3 linked regions of the Macaca mulatta genome follow. The protein of the gene in region 3 purifies or fractionates together with the protein of the main gene of each other region. This does not show direct contact. Links are inferred from orthologs where the notes say so. Each region holds a gene or a part of one and is shown on either strand. Other genes may lie near its edges. The genes, in order: SMAD7, SMURF2 and TGFBR2.

The links.
Region 1: the proteins of TGFBR2 (region 3) and SMAD7 purify together in Homo sapiens (affinity purification with western blotting; 3 studies listed by BioGRID). This does not show direct contact. The link is inferred for Macaca mulatta from reciprocal best matches to the Homo sapiens genes TGFBR2 and SMAD7.
Region 2: the proteins of TGFBR2 (region 3) and SMURF2 purify together in Homo sapiens (affinity purification with western blotting; 3 studies listed by BioGRID). This does not show direct contact. The link is inferred for Macaca mulatta from reciprocal best matches to the Homo sapiens genes TGFBR2 and SMURF2.

The regions. Positions count from the first base shown.
Region 1 is NC_133423.1:43,374,402-43,382,537, forward strand, and holds the start of SMAD7 (mothers against decapentaplegic homolog 7), read left to right. Parts: upstream 1-4,023; 5' UTR 4,024-5,626; coding exon 5,627-6,239; intron 6,240-6,606; exon of another isoform or gene 6,607-6,784; intron 6,785-7,576; coding exon 7,577-7,630; intron 7,631-8,136. UniProt on the Homo sapiens protein: Antagonist of signaling by TGF-beta (transforming growth factor) type 1 receptor superfamily members; has been shown to inhibit TGF-beta (Transforming growth factor) and activin signaling by associating with their receptors thus preventing SMAD2 access.
Region 2 is NC_133421.1:74,451,793-74,459,384, reverse strand, and holds part of SMURF2 (E3 ubiquitin-protein ligase SMURF2), read left to right. Parts: intron 1-1,727; coding exon 1,728-1,906; intron 1,907-2,746; coding exon 2,747-2,884; intron 2,885-6,072; coding exon 6,073-6,193; intron 6,194-6,792; exon of another isoform or gene 6,793-7,563; intron 7,564-7,592. UniProt on the Homo sapiens protein: E3 ubiquitin-protein ligase which accepts ubiquitin from an E2 ubiquitin-conjugating enzyme in the form of a thioester and then directly transfers the ubiquitin to targeted substrates.
Region 3 is NC_133407.1:17,937,390-17,945,445, reverse strand, and holds the start of TGFBR2 (TGF-beta receptor type-2 precursor), read left to right. Parts: upstream 1-2,938; 5' UTR 2,939-3,085; coding exon 3,086-3,179; intron 3,180-3,780; exon of another isoform or gene 3,781-3,799; intron 3,800-8,056. UniProt on the Homo sapiens protein: Transmembrane serine/threonine kinase forming with the TGF-beta type I serine/threonine kinase receptor, TGFBR1, the non-promiscuous receptor for the TGF-beta cytokines TGFB1, TGFB2 and TGFB3.

The sequences.
Region 1 (8,136 bases), on a different chromosome or scaffold from region 3:
TCTTTAGCTGATTCCATCCTTGTTTGTCATAACTCTGCTGCAAGTTATTTTGGTCTCTGTGACTTGTGGCGGCACCATGATTAGGGTTTGATTACTATCACCAAAGCGACTAAAAGATGAAAATAGAAGCCACAACAGGAAATAAACAACTGCAAATGAGCTATTTTATTCCATATTCCCTGCCAGCAAATGATTAGAATCAAATTCATTCACAATAGTTTGGTGAACTCTTAAACTTTTTCTTAAGGGTCAGAATAGTCTGAAACGGCGTTTGCTGGCCTCCTTTGTGCCTTTGGAACGGAAAGAAAGAAGCTACCTTTCTAGGCACACCAGCCTGCCGGGAGTTCCTCTACTGCCAGGCTTCTGGCTTCTTTCTTGGAGAGGAGAGGAATAAGAATGTGATGGGGTGGGGCTATCAGGCAGGTTGGGATGTTAACTGATTCAGGGGATGCCAGGGAGCTATAAAGCAGCACCAATCATTGTAGCTACTTGCTAAGCACCGCACCCAGCTTCTACCTAGGGTAGCAAAATGGAAGAGGAAAGCCGTGTAGAGAGGGGTGACACCTGAATTAATACACCTACAATTACACTATATGGGAACATATCTCTGCAAGTACGTGCATGTTCCACCTAGACAAACCGTGACGTCAGACTCCGTTCCTGAAACACCCATGAAACTTACCTGCCCTGTGTGTGCTCCGGCCTCTCATTACAGAGCCTTAGCACTACTGGCCAGATCTCCAAAAGATTCTTCAGATTCTCCATTTAGCCAAGAAGCTTAATTAGAATTATGACCTCTGCTTTCTCTGCTTATTGAAGTCCTTTCTGTTGCTATGAAGCCTGGTCTAACCACTCTAAAAAAGTGAAGATCTTTTAGGGAGACCCAGAACAGAGAGGGGATGGGACCCTCGAGGGCAGAAACTTGCCCAGAAAACCTTATAAACGCTGCCAAGTGCTCGCCTAATGTGGGGATTGCTGTTGGCCCAAGTTGCTTAACCAGTGAGTGACAACGCCCCAGCCTGGAATCAGATTTTCTGACCTCTAGTCTGGTACTCTTTCTAAGCCTTTCTAAGGGGAAAATATGATACATTTCCCAGACACCTTAAAAATCCCATTTCTGTCTCTTTCGTCTTCCGTTGCCTATTGTGATAGGCCTCCCAAAGTGCTGGGATTACACCCTTTCTCCATTCTCTTCTGTGCTTTCTCGGCTGCTGTCTTCACAGGTTGCTTCTTAGAATGTTTTATACACACACACAAGGTTTCCATGCCCTTTTCAACAAGCCATATTTTAATTTACAATAAAATTATGATGTTATACAACTGCAGCTTATGTGGCCTTACACAGTAAATGTTCAGAATGGCAGCTTCTGTCCTGTCCAATAGGGTTCTGTACTGCTTGGGGCATCCTACTGTCTTCCAAGTCAATAAGTGTTAGGATCTCCTTGCCTGGAGATGATCATGTAAGCAATGTTGCTGATTTCTTCTGGAATGTATGTTACCAAAGGTACTTTTGGTGGGGTGGAGGAAGGGTCCAAATGCCCCTTAAGCCCTAAGTGTTGATTTCTAATTATTTATTAAGCATCTACTATTGTATTAATATGTTATAAGTCTTTTTAATTGCTGGAGGGGGAGAGGGCTTGAGCTCTAAAGGTGGCTAAGATTCATTCCTGCCTTTTCCTTTTAAGAACATATAATTGGCCGGGCGCGGTGGCTCAAGCCTGTAATCCCAGCACTTTGGGAGGCCGAGACGGGCGGATCACGAGGTCAGGAGATCGAGACCATCCTGGCTAACACAGTGAAACCCCGTCTCTACTAAAAATACAAAAACTTAGCCGGGCGAGGTGGCAGGCGCCTGTAGTCCCAGCTACTCGGGAGGCTGAGGCAGGAGAATGGCATGAACCCGGGAGGCGGAGCTTGCAGTGAGCTGAGATCCGGCCACTGCACTCCAGCCTGGGTGACAGAGCGAGACTCCGTCTCAAAAAAAAAAAAAAAAAAAAAAAAAGAACATATAATTTAGCTGAGGAGATGTACATTTCATCTTTTTCTTTTTTTTCTTTTCTTTCTTTTTTTTTTTTTTTTGAGACAGAGTCTCACTCTGTTGCCCAGGATGGAGTGCAGTGGTGCGATCTCGGCTCACTGCAACCTCCGTCTCCCGGGTTCAAGGAATTCTCCTGTCTCAGCTGGGGTTACAGGCACGTGCCACCTGCCTGTTTAATTTTTGTATTTTTAGTAGAGACGGGATTTCACCATATTGGCCAGGCTGGTCTCAAACTCTTGACCTCAGGTGATCCACCTGCCTCAGCCTCCCAAAATGCTGGGATTACAAGCGTGAGCCACCAAGCCCCGGCACATTTCACCTTTTCTAAAGATTATTTTAAGGCCAGGTGCAGTGGCTCACGCCTGTACTTCCAGCAGTTTGAGAGGTCGAGGCAGGTAGATTACTTGAGGTCAGGAGTTCCAGATCAGCCTGGCCAACATGGTGAAACCGCGTCACTACCAAAAATTACAAAAATTAGCCAGGTGTGGTGGCAAGCGCCTGTAGTTCCAGCTACTCCAGAGGCTGAGGTGGGAGAATCATTTGATCCGGGGAGGCAGAGGCTGCAGGAAGCCGACATCGAGCCACTGCACTTTAGCCTGGGTCAAGAGTGAGACTCTTAAAAGAAAAAAGATTCTTCAAAGCCCCCAATGAGTTTCACTGCGGGCCTGATCTCATAATTCTCAATGGCTTTTTTTTTTTTTTTTTAAATCGTATTTCACTGAATATGAAGTGAGGTTAGATCACCATGCCAACCAGTGGCCTCATCAATACTGATGTGTGTGTATTTAAATAATTACGTTTCTCAGAGCCATCAGCTTTCACGCTGTATATGCGTTCATGCCCTAGCAATGCCATGCCCGTTTCTATGCAGTAACTCGCCAGCTTGAGTATATGTTTCTTCGGGACCTGGGGTCAAGGTATAAACTCTCTGACCCTAAGCACCTTGAAAGCTACGAGGCCCAGAAACAGGCCCTGCATGCAAATAAATGCCCTAGGCAGGTCTGCTCGCTGGGTAACCTTCCCGCGCCAGGAGGCAGGGTGGCTGGTGGCGGAGGTCTTCCGGGCCCGGGAGGAAACCTGCGGGCGGCGCGCAGGCGAGCCCCCGCCTCCCGCTCCCCTTCTCCCGCCAGGAGGCTGCCCCTCGCAGCTCGTCAGCCGGCCAAATGCATTCCATAGCTGTGCACAAGACACACTTCTCCAGGCAGTCCTAGAAACCGGAGCCCGGAGCGGAGAGGGCGGGAGGGAGCGCGCGGCCGCCGCTGAGGTCATATTCACGCCGCCTCCCCGCCCTCGGCGGCTGTTCCCCTCAGCGCACACTTCCCGGGGCCTCGGTCCAGTCCCGTATAAATGTCTTTTAAACCGAGACAGCGCTCTCCTCCCCTTGCCCTCCGGCGCGGCCAAGGGATCCGCCGCCAGGGCCTTTAAAACAAAACCAATGAATGAAGCGCTAGAGCGAGCGCGCGCGAGATGGCCACCGCGAAGCCCAGCCGGGTCGAAATCGGGCCACCGACCGGCTCTCTAAGCTCCAAAACTCGCAGCGAAGCCCGCTCGGTGCTCCCTGCTTTTCCAATTTCTCCATGGCTCCCGCCGGGGCTCAATCGATTCTGGGAGCTTCTCTGCCCCCCACCTCTCTCTCCCCTCCGTCGGTACCCCATCTACAGCCCCGGGAGGGGGTGGCGGTGGCGGGGGGTTGGGGGGAGAAATAGCTTTTAGAAACCCGATCTGTTGTTTGCGAAACACAATCGCTTTTTTTTTTTTTTTTTAAAGCGACAGGGTGTCTAGACGGCCACGTGACGAGGCCGGAGCCGGGCGCGCCACTGCGCAGTGGAACCAGCCGAGCAGAGGGCCGGAGGGGGGGTGCGGGGGGGCGGGGAGGAGGCGGCGGCGGCGGCGGCTGGGGGCGGGGGAGGGAAGGGGGAGGAAGGGGGAGGGAAGGGGGCGGGGGCGGGGGCGGGAGGCCTTGCGGGAGGCGGCGAGGTCTGGGCACACTCGCTTGCTGCTCGGCGCACTGAAGATCTTGTCCCCGAGCCGCGCCAGCCGAGCCAGCCGGGCGCCGTGCTCGGTCCGCTCGCCGCGCGGGAGAGAGCTGCCCGAGACAGAGCCAGTCCGCCGCCGCCGAGCCGCCGAACGCCCGGCCCCTGAGCCCCAGAGTGCGGCGCGGCGAGCCCCTGGCGGCGGCAGAAGGACCAGAGCGCCAGGAGAGGGCGGACCGGGGACAAGGAGGCTCCCGGGCGCGACGAGGAGAGTCTCGGAGGAGGAGGCGCCGAGAGGACACCGGGGCCTCCTGCCGCCGCTGCTGGGGCCAGGCGAGCAGCCCATGCGGGGACCCTCGGCGGGCAGCCGCGGCCAGGGGAAGGGACACCGGCGGCCCCCGCACTAGCAAGCAGCTTGTGCCCAGGGGGGGCGAGAACGCGCGACCCGCCTGGGGCCCTCCGCCGCCGCCGCCGCCGCGCCGCCCTCCCCCGCGCTGTCAGCCCCGCCGGGCTCAGCCGCCGCCGCAGCATCTTCTGCCCCTGCGCCCCCGCCAGCCTCGAGGAAGTCCCCGCCGAGGACCTGGGCCCCCAGGAGCGCAGGAGGAAAGACCAGAGACTCCCCTAAACCACCCAGATGCGCAGGATTGAAGCGGTCTAGCCAAAGCTTTCTGTGGATTAAAAAAATACACGATTTTTTTTTTTTTTGGCAGAAGGAGAGGAAGACCAGCGGGGCTTTGCAAGGAAAAAAGGGGGGGATGTAACTCGTGGATACATTTTTCCACCCCTCAAACATCTTGTTATACTTTGTAAACATTTTCTTTTTTTAAACCCCAGCTCCAGCCGGACGCCCCCAGACCTCAGAGGTTCGAGGAGGTGGTGTTTTTCATTTGGGGCTTTGCATATTTGGTTGTTAGGTTTTGCGAGAGCCTTCTTATTTCGCCAGACATCTCATGCGGGGTGAAGTCCACTCGGCCCCCTCCCCTGAGTCTTCGTGTGCACAGAATTCGAGGAGATCCGGTTACTAAGGATATAGAGAAAAAAAATAAATTGCGTGCTTGCTTTTTTTTTTTTTAATTGCCTGCTTCTCCCCACCCCCAAATTAAGTTGCTTAGCAAGGGGGAAAGAGGCTTTTTCCTTCTTCCAGCAGCCCAGCCGAACGCCTTTCGCTTTTTTGCCTCCGCGGACCTTCCATGTAGGAATCCGAGGCTGGCGAGCCCGACATTCGGGAGCCACTGCGGGGGGGCCTCTTTTTGGGGAGGCGCCGACGGGGGCAGGCTCGGCCGTCCCCAGGGAAGCGGCGGCCGGGTTCCTCCGGGGCGCGCCGGGGCCGGAGAGCCGCGCAGGGCGCGGGCCGCGCGGGGTGGGGCAGCCGGAGCGCAGGCCCCCGATCCCCGGCGGGCGCCCCCGGGCCCCCGCGCGCGCCCCGGCCTCCGGGAGACTGGCGCATGCCACGGAGCGCCCCTCGGGCCGCCGCCGCTCCTGCCCGGGCCCCTGCTGCTGCTGCTGTCGCCTGCGCCTGCTGCCCCAACTCGGCGCCCGACTTCTTCATGGTGTGCGGAGGTCATGTTCGCTCCTTAGCCGCCAAACGACTTTTCTCCTCGCCTCCTCGCCCCGCATGTTCAGGACCAAACGATCTGCGCTCGTCCGGCGTCTCTGGAGGAGCCGTGCGCCCGGCGGCGAGGACGAGGAGGAGGGCGCGGGGGGAGGTGGAGGAGGCGGCGAGCTGCGGGGAGAAGGGGCGACGGACAGCCGAGCGCATGGGGCCGGTGGCGGCGGCCCGGGCAGGGCTGGATGCTGCCTGGGCAAGGCGGTGCGAGGTGCCAAAGGTCACCACCATCCCCACCCGCCAGCCGCGGGCGCCGGCGCGGCCGGGGGCGCCGAAGCGGATCTGAAGGCGCTCACGCACTCGGTGCTCAAGAAACTGAAGGAGCGGCAGCTGGAGCTGCTGCTCCAGGCCGTGGAGTCCCGCGGCGGGACGCGCACCGCGTGCCTCCTGCTGCCCGGCCGCCTGGACTGCAGGCTGGGCCCGGGGGCGCCCGCCAGCGCGCAGCCTGCGCAGCCGCCCTCGTCCTACTCGCTCCCCCTCCTGCTGTGCAAAGTGTTCAGGTGGCCGGATCTCAGGCATTCCTCGGAAGTCAAGAGGCTGTGTTGCTGTGAATCTTACGGGAAGATCAACCCCGAGCTGGTGTGCTGCAACCCCCATCACCTTAGCCGACTCTGCGAACTAGGTGAGAAGTTGTCCCCTTACCCCCAGCATTTTCCGGCGCGCCAGTGCTGGAAGAAAAGCCCTTAGGGCAGTGCGTTTGTGCAGCCACCCCTCCAGGGGGAGTGTGCATCCCCTCCTGGGAGGAGACTGGGGGCCGAAAGTAGAGAAGGGACACGGGGAAACTCAAAGGGCATTCCCTGGGGTTTCCCTTCCAGGATTTCTCCTGTGTTGCCCCGAAGGGGTCTATGGGCACTGCTCCTGCACACAGTTTGCGGTTAAAAATTAGACGCCTTCATTTCCGGATCAACAAGGGGGTGCAGAGGGAGATGGGGGGGTCACGCCTCCCCGCACCCGGAAAGGCGTTGAGGTGTGTGACCGAGTTGGATTTGGTCCAGGCCCGCCAAGGAAGGCTGGGAGAAGCATGCTATAAAAAGGCTGGAAGGTCTCCGTATTTACTCCTTCAGTAAATAAGGAGAATCACGTCGAACACAAGTGGCCCAGACACTGTCGTGGCCGCGCAGCTTTGGAGTTTTGGGGCAAAGAGAGTTGGATGGAAGGCCGAACTGGGTATCTGTCTCATTTCAACTCTGCCAGCCCCAGGGTGCAGAGGAACAAACAGCCAGGAGAAGTTGGGTGTCCCCTACTTTTTCCTTCCTTCCGCACAGATAAGTCTATAGATTAGTGGGGCCCTGCGCCTCGGTGACGTTGTCGCCCCTTACTGCGCTGGGGCCAGGGCTTCTCGGCTGAGACCCTGAAACTTCTTCCCTTTTATCCTGTCAGCTTTCTCCATTCCTTCCTTTTCTGTATGTCTCTGTACACGGAGTGTGATGTGAGGGTTCACCCCGGGCGACCGCAGATCCCCCAAGTTCACCAGCACGCTTGGGCTGCATCTCCCGAGTGCGCTGGGAATGGGGAGCCCCGTGTCCCTCGCGCGGGTGCCCAGCGGACCGGCGGGGGCGGAGGTGAATTGCACCCCTGGGGGGCGGGCCAGGGCGGGGAACCGAGGTTGCTGGGAGCTGGGTCTGGAGTCCGAGAACGGGGAGGGGGTATGGTCGCCCCCCGCCTGTGAACTGTGAAGTGCGCGGCTCCGGCTGAGCCGGTGGTTTCCAGCCGGGCCAGCCGAGCGCGGCGGCGGCGGCGGCCGCAGACGTGGAGGAGCGGAGCGCCGAGGCTGGCGCCAGGCGGCCTCTTTTGTTTATCTGACAGCTAAATATCAAGGCAATCACCGCCTCGCGGCCCTGCCTCCAACCCCCACAGCTAAGACAAACAGTTGGGCTAAAAGAATGCTTCTGTTATCATAAGTTTCTATCTCTCTTCTCATGGCTGGGCCTTTATTTTCTCTTGCTTTTTTAATTTCAGAGTCTCCCCCCCCTCCTTACTCCAGATACCCGATGGATTTTCTCAAACCAACTGGTGAGTAGATGATTTTTAAAATATCCTTCCTATCTTAAGTTAGAAATAGAGCCTCTAGAACCTGGCTTTTTGTGTGTAGGCAAAGGCTTGGAGAGGTGCTGGACTTGCTTCACTTCACTTTGGTTCTAGGTTTCCTCTGTTGGAAGTTTGGTGAATTTTTCTGTTGTGACTGGGTTTTTGTTTTGTGTTTTTGCAAAGATGTTCCCTTGATATGCTTTACATTTTGTTCCTTTTTCCTGTATTTGCGCTCTGTAGCCGGTGGGCTCAGCTTTGATACGTGGAAGCTTTAGTCCAGAAAGAAGTGTCTTGGGAACCAAATAGGACTGGTTGATGGGGAAAACTTGGAGACTTCGTGAGTGCCAGGAGCATCAACGGCAATAATGGAAAGCGTGATTAGATAGATGGGAAGGCGGTTTAAAAAGGTTCAAAGAAGACTTTGGTCTAGAGTAGACACTGGAACGTTTCAGAAGTATAGGCAGTGAAAGGAGGGTAGGTTCCCCCTGCCC
Region 2 (7,592 bases), on a different chromosome or scaffold from region 3:
ATAGTAGCACTCAACTGAGAACAATATAGTTGTCTTCAAGAGTGGGGATTGATTAAATTATGACATGAAGCAGAATCACACAAATGATTAAAGGCATAGGTTCTGGAATTAGAAAGACATGTCGTGGTCTCATCAGTTTCTAGCTTTGTGACCTTTCAGGGCAAGTTCATGGACTTAAGCTTCAGTTTTGTCATTGCTAATAAATAAATGTGTACCTCAAAGAGGGGTTATGAGAATTAAATGGGGACTGGCACATTAAGCATTTAGCACAGTGCTGTATGTTATTAACTGTACAACTCTTATCAATTACATTATTAAGCACTCAACAGAAGTCAGCAGTTATTACTAATGTATTGTTCTTATATTGTCTTTCCATAGAAGGGCACACTATACAGCCACTAAAATGATCATGTGGGATAATAGTTAATGATTTGGAAATTTGGTGTTTATGATGTGTTAAGGGAAAAGAAGGTTATCAAATAGTATAATGCAACTTTGGTAAATATATATGTGTGTGTGTGTGTGTGTGTGTGTGTGTTTTATTACTTTTAAAAAAGAAACAAAGAGGTTTAAAGACGAACTTAAAAGATTACTTAGTTTTGGCTGGGCGCGGTGGCTCAAGCCTATAATCCCAGCACTTTGGGAGGCCGAGACGGGCAGATCACGAGGTCAGGAGATTGAGACCATCCTGGCTAACACAGTGAAACCCCTTCTCTACTTACAAAAAAAAAAAAATACAAAAAAAAATTAGCCAGGCATGGTGGTGGGCGCCTGTAGTCCCAGCTACTCGGGAGGCTGAGGCAGGAGAATGGCGTGAACCCGGGAGGCGGAGCTTGCAGTGAGCCGAGATCGCGCCACTGCACTCCGGCCTGGGTGACAGAGCGAGACTCTGTCTCAAAAAAAAAAAAAAAAGAATTTAAAAATACAAACATCTAACAAAATAATCTGTGATGAAAGACGAAATATATATAAAAGGGTAGAAATGTTAGATTTGTTTCAGGAAATTATTTAGGGAGGATTTTGAGGTGAAGGTTCTTTTTGGAGGGCGCACTGCTGCCCCTGTAGTAACAATAGCCCACATTCATTGAGGGCTTACAGCATGCCAGGTCCAGTTCCATGGGTTTCAAACATCACCTCATTTTACTCCTCATAGAGATGCTTTTTAGATACTGTTATTATCCTCATATTTCCAGATGTGGACAGTCCTACAGGGGTTAATTTGTCCATACGCCAGTGACTAGCAGAATCATGATTCTAATTCAAGCCTGACACCAAGTCTGTGCTCTTAAATCTATGGTGTTTTGATGTTTAATTTCTGGTTAGGTCAAGGAGGCGGGGAGATTTAGAATTGAAAGATTTTTTTTCATGACAAAGGGCTCAGCACGGAAGTGAGAGAAGGAAGAGAAAAGAATCTGCAAGTAGTTGAATGAAGCTCTGGGACCATAGTTTGGACTTTCTAAAAGATAAATTTTATCTTTCTAAAAGATAAAATTTACAGAATGACTGACCCCTGTGAGAAGGGCGTATTACCCTGTGTAATATGCTGTTCCGGAGTGATCTAGAGACTCCTGAGCATGCCCTAGAGAAATACTCCCTCCTGACTATATTGAAGAGTACAAATTTTATGCTTATTCTCAAAAAAATTAATGTTGCTGAAATATTTCATTTTTATTAAAATTTTCCTGGGTAGTTTCTAACTTGAGTATATACACTCTTTTCAATTTCAGGAACATTTATCCTATTTCCACTTTGTTGGACGAATAATGGGAATGGCTGTGTTTCATGGACATTATATTGATGGTGGTTTCACTTTGCCTTTTTATAAGCAATTGCTTGGGAAGTCGATTACTTTGGATGACATGGAGTTAGTAGATCCAGATCTTCATAACAGTTTAGTGTGGATACTGTATGTATTGAGTCTTCTGTCTCTTCATTATAGTTAAACTCTTGAGCTTTTAAAAAAAAGTTTCAAAACCGATGTACTTAAAAAAAATTACACAGAAAATATTGAGTGGTTGAGTGATAGGATCTCATATGATTTCCCCCTTTCTGTAGCTTCTTTATATATTTCAAATTCCTTAAACTTAGCAAGTGTTACTACTTTAAAAAGAAAAAAAAAAACTAGTATATTCTATTTTTAAAAGTACTTTATATGATTATTTCCTCAATGTGATGTAAATTCTGTTCCAAACCTGCATGTGTTAGAATAGCAAATTCTTGCTGCCATTGCTTTTAATGAAGTGGCGATTGTTGGAACCATACTTTTAGATAAGAACTAATTGTTGAATTTAAGCTAAGAACTGATTCTGTTTTGCAAGAGGTCGTTATTTTTATGAAGATACACTGGAAATGTTTATTTTTTATAAAGTATACAGTGGCTTTCTCAACTAGGGATACACAGGCACTTGGCCCCTTGGAGTACAGTACCGAGTAGCGCTCTTCAGAATGCCAAATATAACTGAAATTGTCCTATATTGGTGGTTCTAGCAAGTCCCAGCTTTGACCAGGGCTCTTTCTCATCACTCAGGAAGTTAAATGTTTCCTGTGTTTATGCAGGTTAAAGCTCTTTGACTTTTCTGTCCAGAAAGAACTAGGTAGTGTGGTAGTTTAAGAGTTCATAAGCTGAATCTGACCTCACATTTGTCATATTATAAAATGATCTTAGTTTTATCTCACCAGTTAATACATCTATAGGGTCTGTATTTTAGGTTTCCCAGTTACCTATCTCTTCCTCTTTCCTTTCCAGTGAGAATGATATTACAGGTGTTTTGGACCATACCTTCTGTGTTGAACATAATGCATATGGTGAAATTATTCAGCATGAACTTAAACCAAATGGCAAAAGTATCCCTGTTAATGAAGAAAATAAAAAAGAATATGTCAGGTAAACACTCCTGTGTTCTCAAGGCTGAATTTTTTTAAAATGTTCTAGGATGTTAGTATGAACAAACTTAAATATTTAGATAGTATTACTTAGTGTTACAAAATCCGCTTCAGCAGAATTTAGTGGCTTATTAAGAACAGCCATTTTATTATTTCTCACAATTCCAAGGGTCAGGAAATTGGGCAAAAGAACAACATGGATGACACACTGCTGTTCCACAAGATGTCAGCTAGGCCTGCAACACCAAGATGGCCTCTTCACTCATAACTAGGATAACTCAAATGGCCGAGGGCTAGCTGGCATGGCTGTCGACTGGGGTCACTGGCTGGGTCCTAGTTCTCATTGTTGGCTGAGTTCCTTGGTTCTCCCTCTGTGATATCAAAGGCCATTCCCTCTCTCCATGACCACTCCCTCTCCCCATAGCCACTCTTTCTCCCTGAAAAGTTTGTCCCTTCATTGTAATGAAGGTTAATCATGTTACCCACTGTATTGATAGACTTCTTATGGGGTGGCCAGCTTTCCAAAGCTCAAAAGCAGAAGCTGTAGATCTTTTTAAGGCCTAAGCCTGGTCCTGGCCAACATGACTTCTGTCTAGTTCTGGTTAAACTGAGACAGCCAGCCCAGTTTCATCATGGAAGAGGAGCTGTACAAAGGTGTGAATACCAGGAGATGTGGGCAATGGGGCCATGTGTGGTGTAGCTATCACAGGTGGCAATTCAGAAGGGCTTTTGTGCTGTATATTACTAACATTTAGCCTGTTTATAAACAAGCACATTGTGAGTTTAGGGATAAATGTAAATAAATGTTTTTCAGATTTCATAAAGTAAATTTGAGGAATTTTTATGTATTGGGCTAATTTGGCTTATGAGAAATAAAAAGTCTACCAAACAAAACTGTGGTAATCAGCTTTGGAAGTTTGAACTTGAACTTTACTGTATGTACACAGAAACTTGCATGCTATACTTTTTTTGTATAGATCATGTTCTCAAATCTTACTAACATTGTTCCTAGTTTAAAAATGAGGTCCACTTGATTGGAGTGAACACTGGCATAGCTTTTCTGGAAAGCGGTTTGATACCAGCAGTACATGCCCTTTAGCAGCTCTGTGTTTAGGACTCTTCTGCAGAAACACACATGTAATTGAAGAAGTACAGGAAAGGATGGTCAATTAAATACTACTTGTAAAAATTACACTACTAAAATCTTTTTAGAGAAGAATGATTATATTATACATTCAACAGAATATTATGTGGATATTTAAAAGAAAGACTACATAAGCTGTCATATTTTAAAACTAAATCTTACAAGAATTATGTAGGAACAAAGTCTATGTTTTTTTGTTTTGTTTTGTTTTTTGTTTTCTTTTGTTTTTCTTTGAGACAGAGTCTCACTCTGTTGCCCAGGCTGGAGTGCAGTGGCACAATCTTGGCTCACTGCAACCTCTGCCTCCCAGGTTCAAGTGATTCTCCTGCCTCAGCCTCCCGAGTAGCTGGGAGTACAGGTGCGCACCACCACACCCGGCGAATTTTTGTATTATTGGCAGAGATGGGGTTTCACCATATTGACCATGCTGTTCTCAAACTCCTGACCTCATGATCTGCTTGCCTTGGCCTCCCAAAGTGTTGGGATTACAGCGTAAGCCACCGTGCCTGGCTGGTTTTTTTTTTTTTTTTTTATAATTATACTGAAGATGTTCAGGAGGCTGCAGTCAAATAAAGTTTTTGCCTAGGATGAGGGAGTGGAGGTGATGGGACTGGAAATAGGGAGGAGAAAGAGGGTAAAAGAATGGACTTTCATATTTTACTGTCTCCATAGTTAATGTTTGTTTTTTTGTTACATGCATAAAAAGTATGTATTACATTTCTACTTTAAAAAATGAAAGAACAGGCTGGGTGTGGTGGCTCATGCCTGTAATCCCAGCATTTTGGGAGGCCAGAGTGGGTGGATCAGCTGAGGTCAAGAGTTTGAGACCAGCCTAGCTAACATGGTGAAACCTTGTCTCTACTAAAAATACAAAAATTAGCCAAGTGTGTTGGCAGGCACCTGTAATCCTAGCTGCTTTGAAGGCTGAGGCAGGAGAACCACTTGAACCTGGGAGGTGGAGGTTGCAGTAAGCTGAGATCACACCACTGCACTCCAGCCTGGGCGACAGAGCGAAACTCTATCTAATATAAATTTAAAATAATAAAAAAAGAAAGAACAAATGAGAATTTCCTAAGTCTTAGCAGTATCTCCTTTTCAAGACCTCGTGTGTCCTACTCAGTCCCTGGATCCCACTCTCCAGGGTTCAGTCGTGTTTACAGCACACGGTACTAATGCCTTGCCAGCTACAGTTTTGAGATTAAAAATTACAAAGAAAAATTTTTACAGTTGTACAGTTTTTCTGTCCCCTTAGCCCAGCAAACAGAAATATGGTCCTCCAAAGGATGTGTTGTTAAGTAACTTCTCTCTTGAAGTGGAGAACCATTTCTCCAGATTTGGAAATGGTAACAAATTTGACAGATGAGTAAGTTCTGTGATGTGTGAGATGGAGAGGTCTTCTTGGGTAGGTAGATAAATAAAAGCAATTCACTTATAAATCATACAGTCACACAGTAGATGTAGTTTAGTGCATTTTTTATTGGTAAAATTACATCTTCCAGAATTTTTATATCCTCTAGAGAACAATGATTATTTAATCAAAAAGCACTTGCTATTGGCTTTTACTGTTTCTTCTCATTTTTGGTTTGAGGATTATCTACCTCCTCTTCTCCCACAGACCTCCCTCAAATAGAAACAAAACACCCAACACATTCAAATTACATTTACAAGTAAAATCAGAAAAAATAGTCATTTTTGAGTGAAAGAGCTCTTTATTCTAGTTATTGGCATGTATGCTGTAAGTTTAGAAAGAAATTTCATCAAGACTCAAGTAGACGTCCTGTTTCCTGGGAGCTTCTCTGATTCGAAGGGTTGCTCTGCTGATGCTGCTGCTGTTAGTAGAAGTTTACCACTTTTCATCAACACTGAACTGTGTCACACCTCAGGGATCATTTATCCCCATTAGTCTGAGATTTATTTTTAGACTTTAGGCTAAATTATTAATGTTAGATGCTTGTAAAATGCAATGTTGCTAAAGTAGAGATTTATAATAATTACCAGATCTGAAAATATATGTGATTATACCCAATCCTGCCTAATGTTTACAGGCTCTATGTGAACTGGAGATTTTTACGAGGCATTGAGGCTCAATTCCTGGCTCTGCAGAAAGGATTTAATGAAGTAATTCCACAACATTTGCTGAAGACATTTGATGAGAAGGAGTTAGAGGTTAGTGCATTAGTAGTATAACATCACTAGTATAACAAGAAAGGATTGGGAATTATTTTGTTACTTAATTTTATAGGAAAGTCATATTTCTGGTACTTTCTAAGTTTCATGGTTCTATGCTTGAGAATTCTTATTCACAGGAAAAGTCTTTCATGCTTTTGAAGGCCTTTCATCCTTTGGAATTTCTGTGAGTGAACAGTCTCTCCTCTCCTCTCCTCTCCTCTCCTCTCCTCTCCTCTCCTCTCCTCTCCTCTCCTCTCCTCTCCTCTCCTCTCCTCTCCTCTCCTCTCCTCTCCTCTCCTCTCTCCCCTCTCTCCTCTCCCCTCTCCCCTCTCCCCTCTCCCCTCTCCCCTCTCCCCTCTCCCCTCTCCCCTCTCCCCTCTCCCCTCTCCCCTCTCCCCTCTCCCCTCTCCCCTCTCCCCTCTCCCCTCTCCCCTCTCCCCTCATTTTTTCTGAGACAGGGTCTCACTCCGTCACCCAGGCTGGGGTGCAGTGGTGCAGTCATGGCTCACTGCAGCCTTGGCCTCGTGGGCTCAAATGATCCTTCCACCTCAGCCCCCCAAGTAGCTGGGACTACAAGCATGCACCAGCACGCCTGGCTAATTTTCTTGTTTTTTTTTTTTTTTTTTTTTTTGGTAGAGACAAGGTTTTGCCATGTTTCCCAGGCTGATCTCAAACTCCTGAGCTCAAGTGATCTGCCTGCCTTGGCCTCCCAAAGTGCTAGGATTATAGGCTTGAGCCACCATGCCCGGCTTGAGCAATCTCTCTTATATTGTGAACATTTAAAATTTATTTTTCTATCCTGTACTTTCTTATTTTAAACAGATTTCATGACTTATATGTACATTCTTCCAATATATATTTATTCCTTAACTTAGTAGTTACTGATTTAGTTAAGTAAAACCTCATTAATCTACCATATTGAAATTAATTTGGGTAAGAGCCTACTCTCAGTTGGTTTTACACTAAGCTTGCAAGAAAGCATTTGATAGACAAGATCATTGAGAAAATAACTAAAACACCTAGGAGAAATTGTATCTTTTTTTTTTTTTTTTTTTTGAGACAGAATCGCCCAGGCTGGAGAGCAGTGGCATGATCTAGGCTCACTGCAACCTCCACCTCCTGGGTTCAAGTGATTCTCCTGCCTCAGCCTCCCAAGTAGCTGGGACTACAGGCACCCGCAACCACGCCCGGCTGATTTTTATATTAGTAGAAACAGGGTTTCACCACATTGGCCAGGCTGGTCTGGGATTCCTGACCTCAAATGATCCACCCACTCTGGCCTTCCAAAGTGCTCAGATTACAGGTGTAAGCCACCGTACCTGGCCTCTAAATGTCTTTAGATTAACAGCCATACAAAACAGTTAATAGTTTTTTGTTTCCTGGGCCGGGCGCGGTG
Region 3 (8,056 bases):
TTACAGGTGTGGACCACTGCACCCAGCCTGATGAATTTTTAAAATTATCAAACTGCAATATGCTGAGTTTACATCTCTATTATTTCTATTATGATGATTTTCAAAAGGCTAGCTTGCATTGGCAATGCTGAATTCTGATTCTTCTCAATTTCACAGGAGATTGAAGATTAAATCAGAAATGTTAAGGGCAAACAAAATTAAAATCAACATTAATGGTGTATGATGACAAAGACCACCAGTTAAACATTTGACCATGGATTCAAATACCTAGCCTCCAACAATGTAAAACATCTGTCTTTGTGATAATTAGGGAAAACAAAGCCTTTGGAATATATTGAACATTTATTTGCCACATTGTGTTTTGAGGAGAAAGAAAGTACATGTATGCTGTCCGGAGGAACTTGGGCAAATGTAAGGAAAAAAAAAAAAAAAAAAAAAACAAGAAGAAAGAAACCCACATACTTCTCCATTCTTAAGAAAAGGAAGTAGTGGTGACATCATTGTCGGCTAAAATGTAGTCTGTTTATATCTCAAATATTAGGTAACAATGTTTTCTCCAGAGTTATGAAGCAACTAGAATGATCAAGTACAATTTTCTTCTAAATCTTTATTGCCTGATTCATTCATTCATCCAATAAATATTTATTAAACATCGATTATGTGTTAGATGTTTGGGACACAATAGTAAGTGGAGGGAAAGATATATAATACCTGCCCTCAAGAAATTTGGAGTTGAGTGGAGGATAGGAATAGAAATTAAAGAATGACACAAATAATTATAAAGTTACAGCTGTTAAAAGAAAGGCATATGGTGCCAAGAGAACCTATAATAAAAGATCTACTCATGGAGGTCAGTGAAAGCTTGCCCATCAAAGAAGTTATCATTCAATCCACGAAGACCAGGAGTTGGCTGGGTGAAGAAGAAAAGGTCAGAGGAAGGAAGTCCATACTGGGGAAGGAAGGCTCTGTGCATAAAGAATAGGGGGATTACAGAGGCACATTCACGAAATTTGGAGAAGGCTTTCAGCAAGCAAGGAGAAGCCACGTGGACGTTTACAGCAGAGGTGGGGGCTTGAACCAGATCCACGTTCAAGGATCTGGTTTTTATCTTCTCTTTATCTCAAGAGCAGTGGGAAGCCATTAAATGATTTTAGTCAGAGAGTTGGTATAACTAGTTTTGTATTTTGAAAAACTGAATTCAGCTCTCATTTGAGAAACTGAGTGAAACAGCCCGGAATGGCCGTGGCTGAGGGTGACCGGTGGGAGACTCCTACTCAAGCCACGGCAGTGGCATGGGCTGGTGGCAGGAGAGGGAACAGGGAGAAGAAGATTTGGAACTCAATCTTCCTCCATTGATAAAGTCACTCCAGCTTTGGCAAGGCAATTAATTGATGGGAAAGAAGATGCCTAGCCCTCCTGATTTCACTGCATTTTCTCCATCTTAAACATGAGCGCTGGGAAGTGGCAGAACATCTAGAGGCAGCTCGGGTGCTAGGTGGAGCAAGAGGTAAAATTCCAGGATGAAGCAAATGAACTCTTAGAATGACAGGAGGGATTTTGGGAGCTGGGTTTGGGGGAGTGCTATTTACCTTTATTCCCTGGAGGCCCTGGCCCAAACCCTTGCCTCTGCAATCTTTCTCTCAGGTAAAGGAATTCATTAAACGAATTGCTGGAAGATCTACTGACCAGAGGGCTGTACAGAATCCTATCTTTGAGAGAGAGAAGTAGGTTGATCACATAGTTTATTATCCAATCAGGACATATCTGAAAGAGAAAAGGGGTTCTATTAATATTTAAACTACAAAACATGTACACCAGGAGTGTCTTGGGCAAATCTGGTTGCCCTAGCAAGAAAGGAAATTTGAAAGTTTATACTGTTCTGCTCCCATGTTACCCCTTTTTCACATGAAAGGCTAAGCATTCTCTTCACCTGCATTAAGGGAATAAAAGCGCAAGCATTCAGGTGACTCCCAAGCCACTTTTAATTTTACAGTTTCTGCTATACTCTATACATTCTGAAAATTACATTTTCCACCATTATCACTTCGTGATAGGTGATCATTTACAATTACTCACTGACTCAGTCCCCGGAAGAGGCGGTGCGAAATGGGAGGCTCTATCCAGGTGCTCATAAAAATGCAGAATCTCCGCCTGCCTCCTAGACCTACTGAATTAGAATCTGCATTTTTTAACAAGATTCCCAGGTGATCAATAAGTACATTAAAACTTGAGAAAAACTTCTAGACTTCGACCTAAAGAAAAAACATTTTACCACTTGACAGTGTATGCACACACATACATGCATAAAGACACAACCGAAGCACAAGTTTAATGAAGTAAAATTTACCGTTACTATTTTATTTGGGACAGAAATGTGCTCACGACTCAATAGATTTGAGTATTCACTCCTGGATCTCAACGTGTAATTTGAAAACGCATCTCTAAAGCACCTAGGAGCAATCTGAAGAAAGCTGAGGGGAGGCGGCAGATGTTCTGATCTACCAGAGAAAACGTGGACGTTTTCTGTTGTTACTTTGTGAACTGCGTGCACTTAGTCACTCTTGAGTAAATACGTGAAGCGAGGAACTCCTGAGTGGTGTGGGAGGGCGGTGAGGGGCAGCTGAAAGTCGGCCAAAGCGCTCGGAGGGGCTGGTCTAGGAAACATGATTGGCAGCTACGAGAGAGCTAGGGGCTGGACGTCGAGGAGAGGGAGAAGGCTCTCGGGCGGAGAGAGGTCCTGCCCAGCTGTTGGCGAGGAGTTTCCTGTTTCCCCCGCAGCGCTGAGTTGAAGTTGAGTGAGTCACTCGCGCGCACGGAGCGACGACACCCCCGCGCGTGCACCCGCTCGGGACAGGAGCCGGCCTCCTGTGCAGCTTCCCTCGGCCGCCGGGGGCCTCCCCGCGCCTCGCCGGCCTCCAGGCCCCCTTCTGGCTGGCGAGCGGGCGCCACATCTGGCCCGCACATCTGCGCGACCGGCCCGGCGCGGGGTCCGGAGAGGGCGCGGCGCGGAGGCGCAGCCAGGGGTCCGGGAAGGCGCCGTCCGCTGCGCTCGGGGCTCGGTCTATGACGAGCAGCGGGGTCTGCCATGGGTCGGGGGCTGCTCAGGGGCCTGTGGCCGCTGCACATCGTCCTGTGGACGCGTATCGCCAGCACGATCCCACCGCACGTTCAGAAGTCGGGTGAGTGGTCCCCAGCCTGGGCTCGGCGGGGCGCCGGGGGTCTTCCTGGGGTCCCCGCCTCTCCGCTGCGCTTGACAGTCGGGCCCGGCAACCCGGCGCCCGGGCGGAAACGAGGAAAGTTTCCTCCGCGGCACTCTAGCAGCCCGACTCCCGTAGCTGCAGGGATGTGTGAGTTTTTCTTGAAAAAAAGATGGAAAGTTCACTTGCAAGGGGCGCGGGGCACGTTTGGTCCCCTTTGTGCGAGCAGGAAAGGCGTTGTGTTGGCCGCGTTCGAGGCGAGCCCCCACCCCCGGAAAGGGAAGTTTGAGAAGTTGGTTATCTGAAGGCGGCCGGGGAGCAGCGGCCCGGGGCGGCAGCCTGAGCTGCCAAAGCAGCCAGCACACCTGGGCCACTCAGCCCGTGGCAATGCCGCGTGCCCACCCAGCTCTTTCTGAGCCACCCGTTCAAAAGGCCAGCTCCTCAGTCCTTAGCTCCTGGACACGGCCACGCTTTCCCTCAGGCCGGCTTCTTGGCCCGGAGGTTTTGGATACAAGTTTCAAGAAAATAAGCGATTTCCAAAAGAAAGTTAGCTGGCTCCACTGACGCCTTGGCATGGATGGGAAGGGAGTGGAGATGCTCAGGTGAAACCGAGAATTCCTCACTGAATGCCCACTGGGTGCTAGGGGCTGTAGATTTTGCCTGGAACAAGACAGTCCTGTCTTCAGGGAGTTGATAGTTCTATGCAATTATCGTTTGTTGGAAACCGAAGGGTTAAAATTCTACCTAGGCTACCCACCTGATCGCTGTGTCTGAAGGTTTTTAAGGAAAAAAAATATATGTTTATATGTATGTGTGTGTCTGTGTGTGTGTGTGTGTGTATATATATATATATATATATGCATGCAGGAATGGGGGTTCTTAATGATTTGTTATGGAAAGTGTAAACACCTGAGACTTCAAAAGTTAGATTTTTTTTTTTTTTTTTTTTTTTTTTTTTTTTTTTTTTTTTGAGACGGAGTCTCATTCTGTCACCAGGCTGGAGTGCAGTGGCGCAATCTCGGCTCACTGCAACCTTTGCCTCATGGGTTCAAGTGATTCTCCTGCCTCAGCCTCCCGAGCAGTTGGGATTACAAGCACCCGCCACCACGCCCAGCTAATTTTTGTGTTTTTAGTAGATACAGGGTTTCACCATATCGGTCAGGATGGTCTCGATCTCTTGACCTCGTAATCCGCCCACCTTGGCCTCCCAAAGTGCTGGGATTATAGGCATGAGCCACCGCGCCCGGCCAAAAGTTAGACTTTTTGCAGCTGTGATCCAAATAACAGTATCTGCAGCTGTGGTCTGGGTAACCGAGTATTTGGGCAAGTCACAGAGCTTTTTCTGGGCCTTAGTTTCCTCATCTGTAAAATGGCAAGGTTGAATCTGGGTAATTTTACATCATCTTCGTGTTTAACATCTTACGTGCCGTGGCCCTCCCCTCCTTTCCCCTAGCTCTTCTGGTAACTTGGAGATGACCCATGTAGGCTCTGGATGAAATGTAGAGGAGTTGGCAGTCCACATCACCCTGACGCACTCTTTTTATTTATCCAGGGACATGGGCAGATTTACCTTTTGGTTTGTCTAGAAAAAACGCGCATCATGGTCAGTTGTAAATTTCAGAGTATTTGAAGTGGATTGGGAACTTTTTAAAAATTATGGCATACATTGAAGGTGGCATGGAGATGGAAGCTTTTAATCTAATTAGGAAGATGCACTATTGCAAGCAAAAAGTCTTAACACACTTTTGAGTCCTATGGTTTTAATAAAATCTTAGTGTTTCGTTCTTGGCGTTTTTCCTGCATTGCAGTACCAGAATGTTCAGTTGTCTCTCATTTTCCTCCAGACTCTTAAACCTAAGTTGTATTTTGCTAATAAATATTTAAAATGGCACCCTTAATTTTCTGTGGATGTTAAAAATCATTAAAACTTTTGTTCCAGATTATAGAAGAAGGAAATTAGCAGGCCCTGATGTTGTTAGGTTCTGTTTACAAGGATAAGATTTATGATTTGCAAATTCCAGACCCAATAGTTCATGAGTCACTTTCATTTCATCAATATACACACTTTTAAACAATTAGCATAAAAGCGTGGTGGCTTTTTGAGTATTTAGACAGTTTAACAAGGCCCACAGATTTCCTATTTTTATAGAATTGAAGTTTCAAAATGGTTGAATTAATGAATATTTTGAATTTGTATTCATTTGATTCAAATTAAATTTTCAAAGTTGGCCAAAGGTTGAAGATAGATATATTGAAGATGAGAAACCTAATTCTACTTACATTTTAATTTTTCATGTAAGTAAATGGTTTCAGAATTTTTCTAACATAACTGGTAAACTGAAAACATTTTTTCAAAATATCTTGATGCAAGATAATATATGAGGGAATGAGATTGTTTAATAAACAACAAGCTCCTTTTACGTCACATAGAAAAGCCCCAAAATCTGTCTTCTGTTTAGTAGCTTCTGTATTTCTGTTTAGTAGTATGTAAAGGATTTAAATATAAGAACAAATTTCACTAAGAAATAGAAAGTTTTTTTTCCCTTGTTTTTGACTTAGTACATTCACTCTTCCTAAATGATCAAAATTAAGAAATGACTCTTTGGGGGAAAACTGTAAAGTGTACAATAGCTCTTCAGGTCTGAAAAATATGACTTTTCAGATTCCTAAAAGTAGATTCTTATTGAGGACAAAGAATTTGTAACAGTGTCGTAGGGATACAGGTTCTTCAGATCTCTTTAATAACCTGCTTATTTTGTCAGGGTAAGAGACTAGACATCATTAGGCCCCAAATCTTATCTTTGGTCTACTTGTGCTTTTTTTTTGCCCTCATAAAAATACGTTTTTACCTTTAGGCCACTCCCTTTAACAACATCTTATTTTTAATGAGTTATGTTTTATACAAAATACTAATCACATTTTGAGCTCGTGCCTTCTTTGCAATGTAGCAATCCCTAATGATGACTCTCGTCTGTGTAGTCAATGTAACTACTACATGTTTTCTACTCAGTTATGAACATGACTTTTTAATTTTTTCAGTAAGGTTAGTTTTTAATTCTGGATCTCATTGATATCATTGCAAAAAGTGGGCATTTTTTTCTTCTACCTTTTCAACCATATTTATTGAGTATCTCTTGCCAGGCAGGACGCTCCGACCTGGGACACCATCCATAAGACAGACCTGGTCTTTGCCTTCATTGAATTTAAGCTAGGAGCATGTTATATGTAAAGAAAAGGATACATGTTTTAACTCTTTATATTTGAAAGCATTATGGAATACTGGTGTTTTATTTTCTATACCTCATTTTCAAAAGCCTCATTTTTTGTTGTTGTATGCACTAGGAGGATGTGCATGTTGAATGTTTCCTTCTAGGTCCCATTGAATGTATTTTGAATCTCACTTTCCTATCCCTGCCTTATCACAGAGCCCCCGTTGGGCAGCCTTTAATTGCCTTCTCCATTCCATAGGCAGCATGATGGACCCAGTGCATTCATTTAGTGTTCTCTTTGAGGATAGGCTGGTGGTAGAAGAGTGTAGGGTATAAGCTTTGGAATCAGGCCGTCCTGGGTTCCAAACCCACTTCCCGTTTACTGGCTGTGTAGCCTGTTGTAGTTACTTTACCTACTGGTCATCCCTGGTCTCATTTGTAAAGTGAGGATTATGGAGTTATGGTGAGGATTAAATAAAATATTGTTTTAAAGTATTTAACATGGTGCCTGCAACACAGTAAATGCTCAGTAAATATCAGCTTCTGTTATTACTGTTAACTCCTTAATTGGTCTTACAAAGGGCCTCCGACGTGGTTCCCATTTGACTCTGCTGCTTCACATCCCACCACAGCCCACACTTTCCCAGTCTGTTGGTGTCACTACACATACACATGATGTGAGCAATTTAGGCAGCTGTGCCTTTGTTCAGGATGTCTGGAACTGCTGCTACCCGGCTAATTTTCACTCATCTTTTAAGACGTAGTTCAAGTGTCATCTTCTTGAGGAAAACCTGCATTGAATGCCCCAGTTTGAGGTGAATATCTCCTATGAGATACGGACCTCTCACTTAGATGGTAACGATACCAAGCCGAAGTCATATCTTTTCGTAACTCTCTTGCCCCATTAGACCTTTAATCCTCTCAATCCTATTCAGTTCTCTATCTCCGGGGTCTCTAGCAGTGCCTGACACATCATTTAGCACCCAGGAAGTGCTGAGCTGAGCCTCCACTTCATCCTACTGCATCTAGTGCAACTGAGGTCGAGCATTTAACTAAGCAGTGACTTGTTTGTTAGGTGTTTGGTCCGAATAGTAAAATCTTTACTTTCAGTTCAAATAGTTTTAGTTCTGATCACAATAAGCAATTTGACTCTTTTTGAAGTATGGAATTGCTTCTTGTATTCTCATGAAATATGGAAAAAGATGTTTCAACTTCTGACAAACATGATGGAAAGCTGCTAGAAGTTTTCATGCAATTCTTCTAGCCATAAATTTTGAACTAGTGTAGGGCCTTGAAAGCCACTGCAAAACTTTAAATAAAGTCACCAGAGAAATTATCCAGTAGGTACTGATACCTCTTTTTTTTTTTTTTCTAGAAGGGTGTTGGAAAGAGAATTTTATTAGGAATGAAGTGCTAAAATCTAAATTTAGTTTTTAAGTTTCTTTTTTCATCGGGTTTTATGTTTTGGTTTGTAAGGGTAAAGCGGCGTTGGTTGAAGGGAAGTGTGGTCCTGTAGCCACCACTGCCTACCCCAGAGTAGCGTGGATATTATTTAGGTCTGATGCAGACTACCAAAGCAGTTTTAAATAGGGTTCAGGGGAAACATGCTTGCTGGCTACAGCATGGCATTATTTGGCCAAGTTCCACATA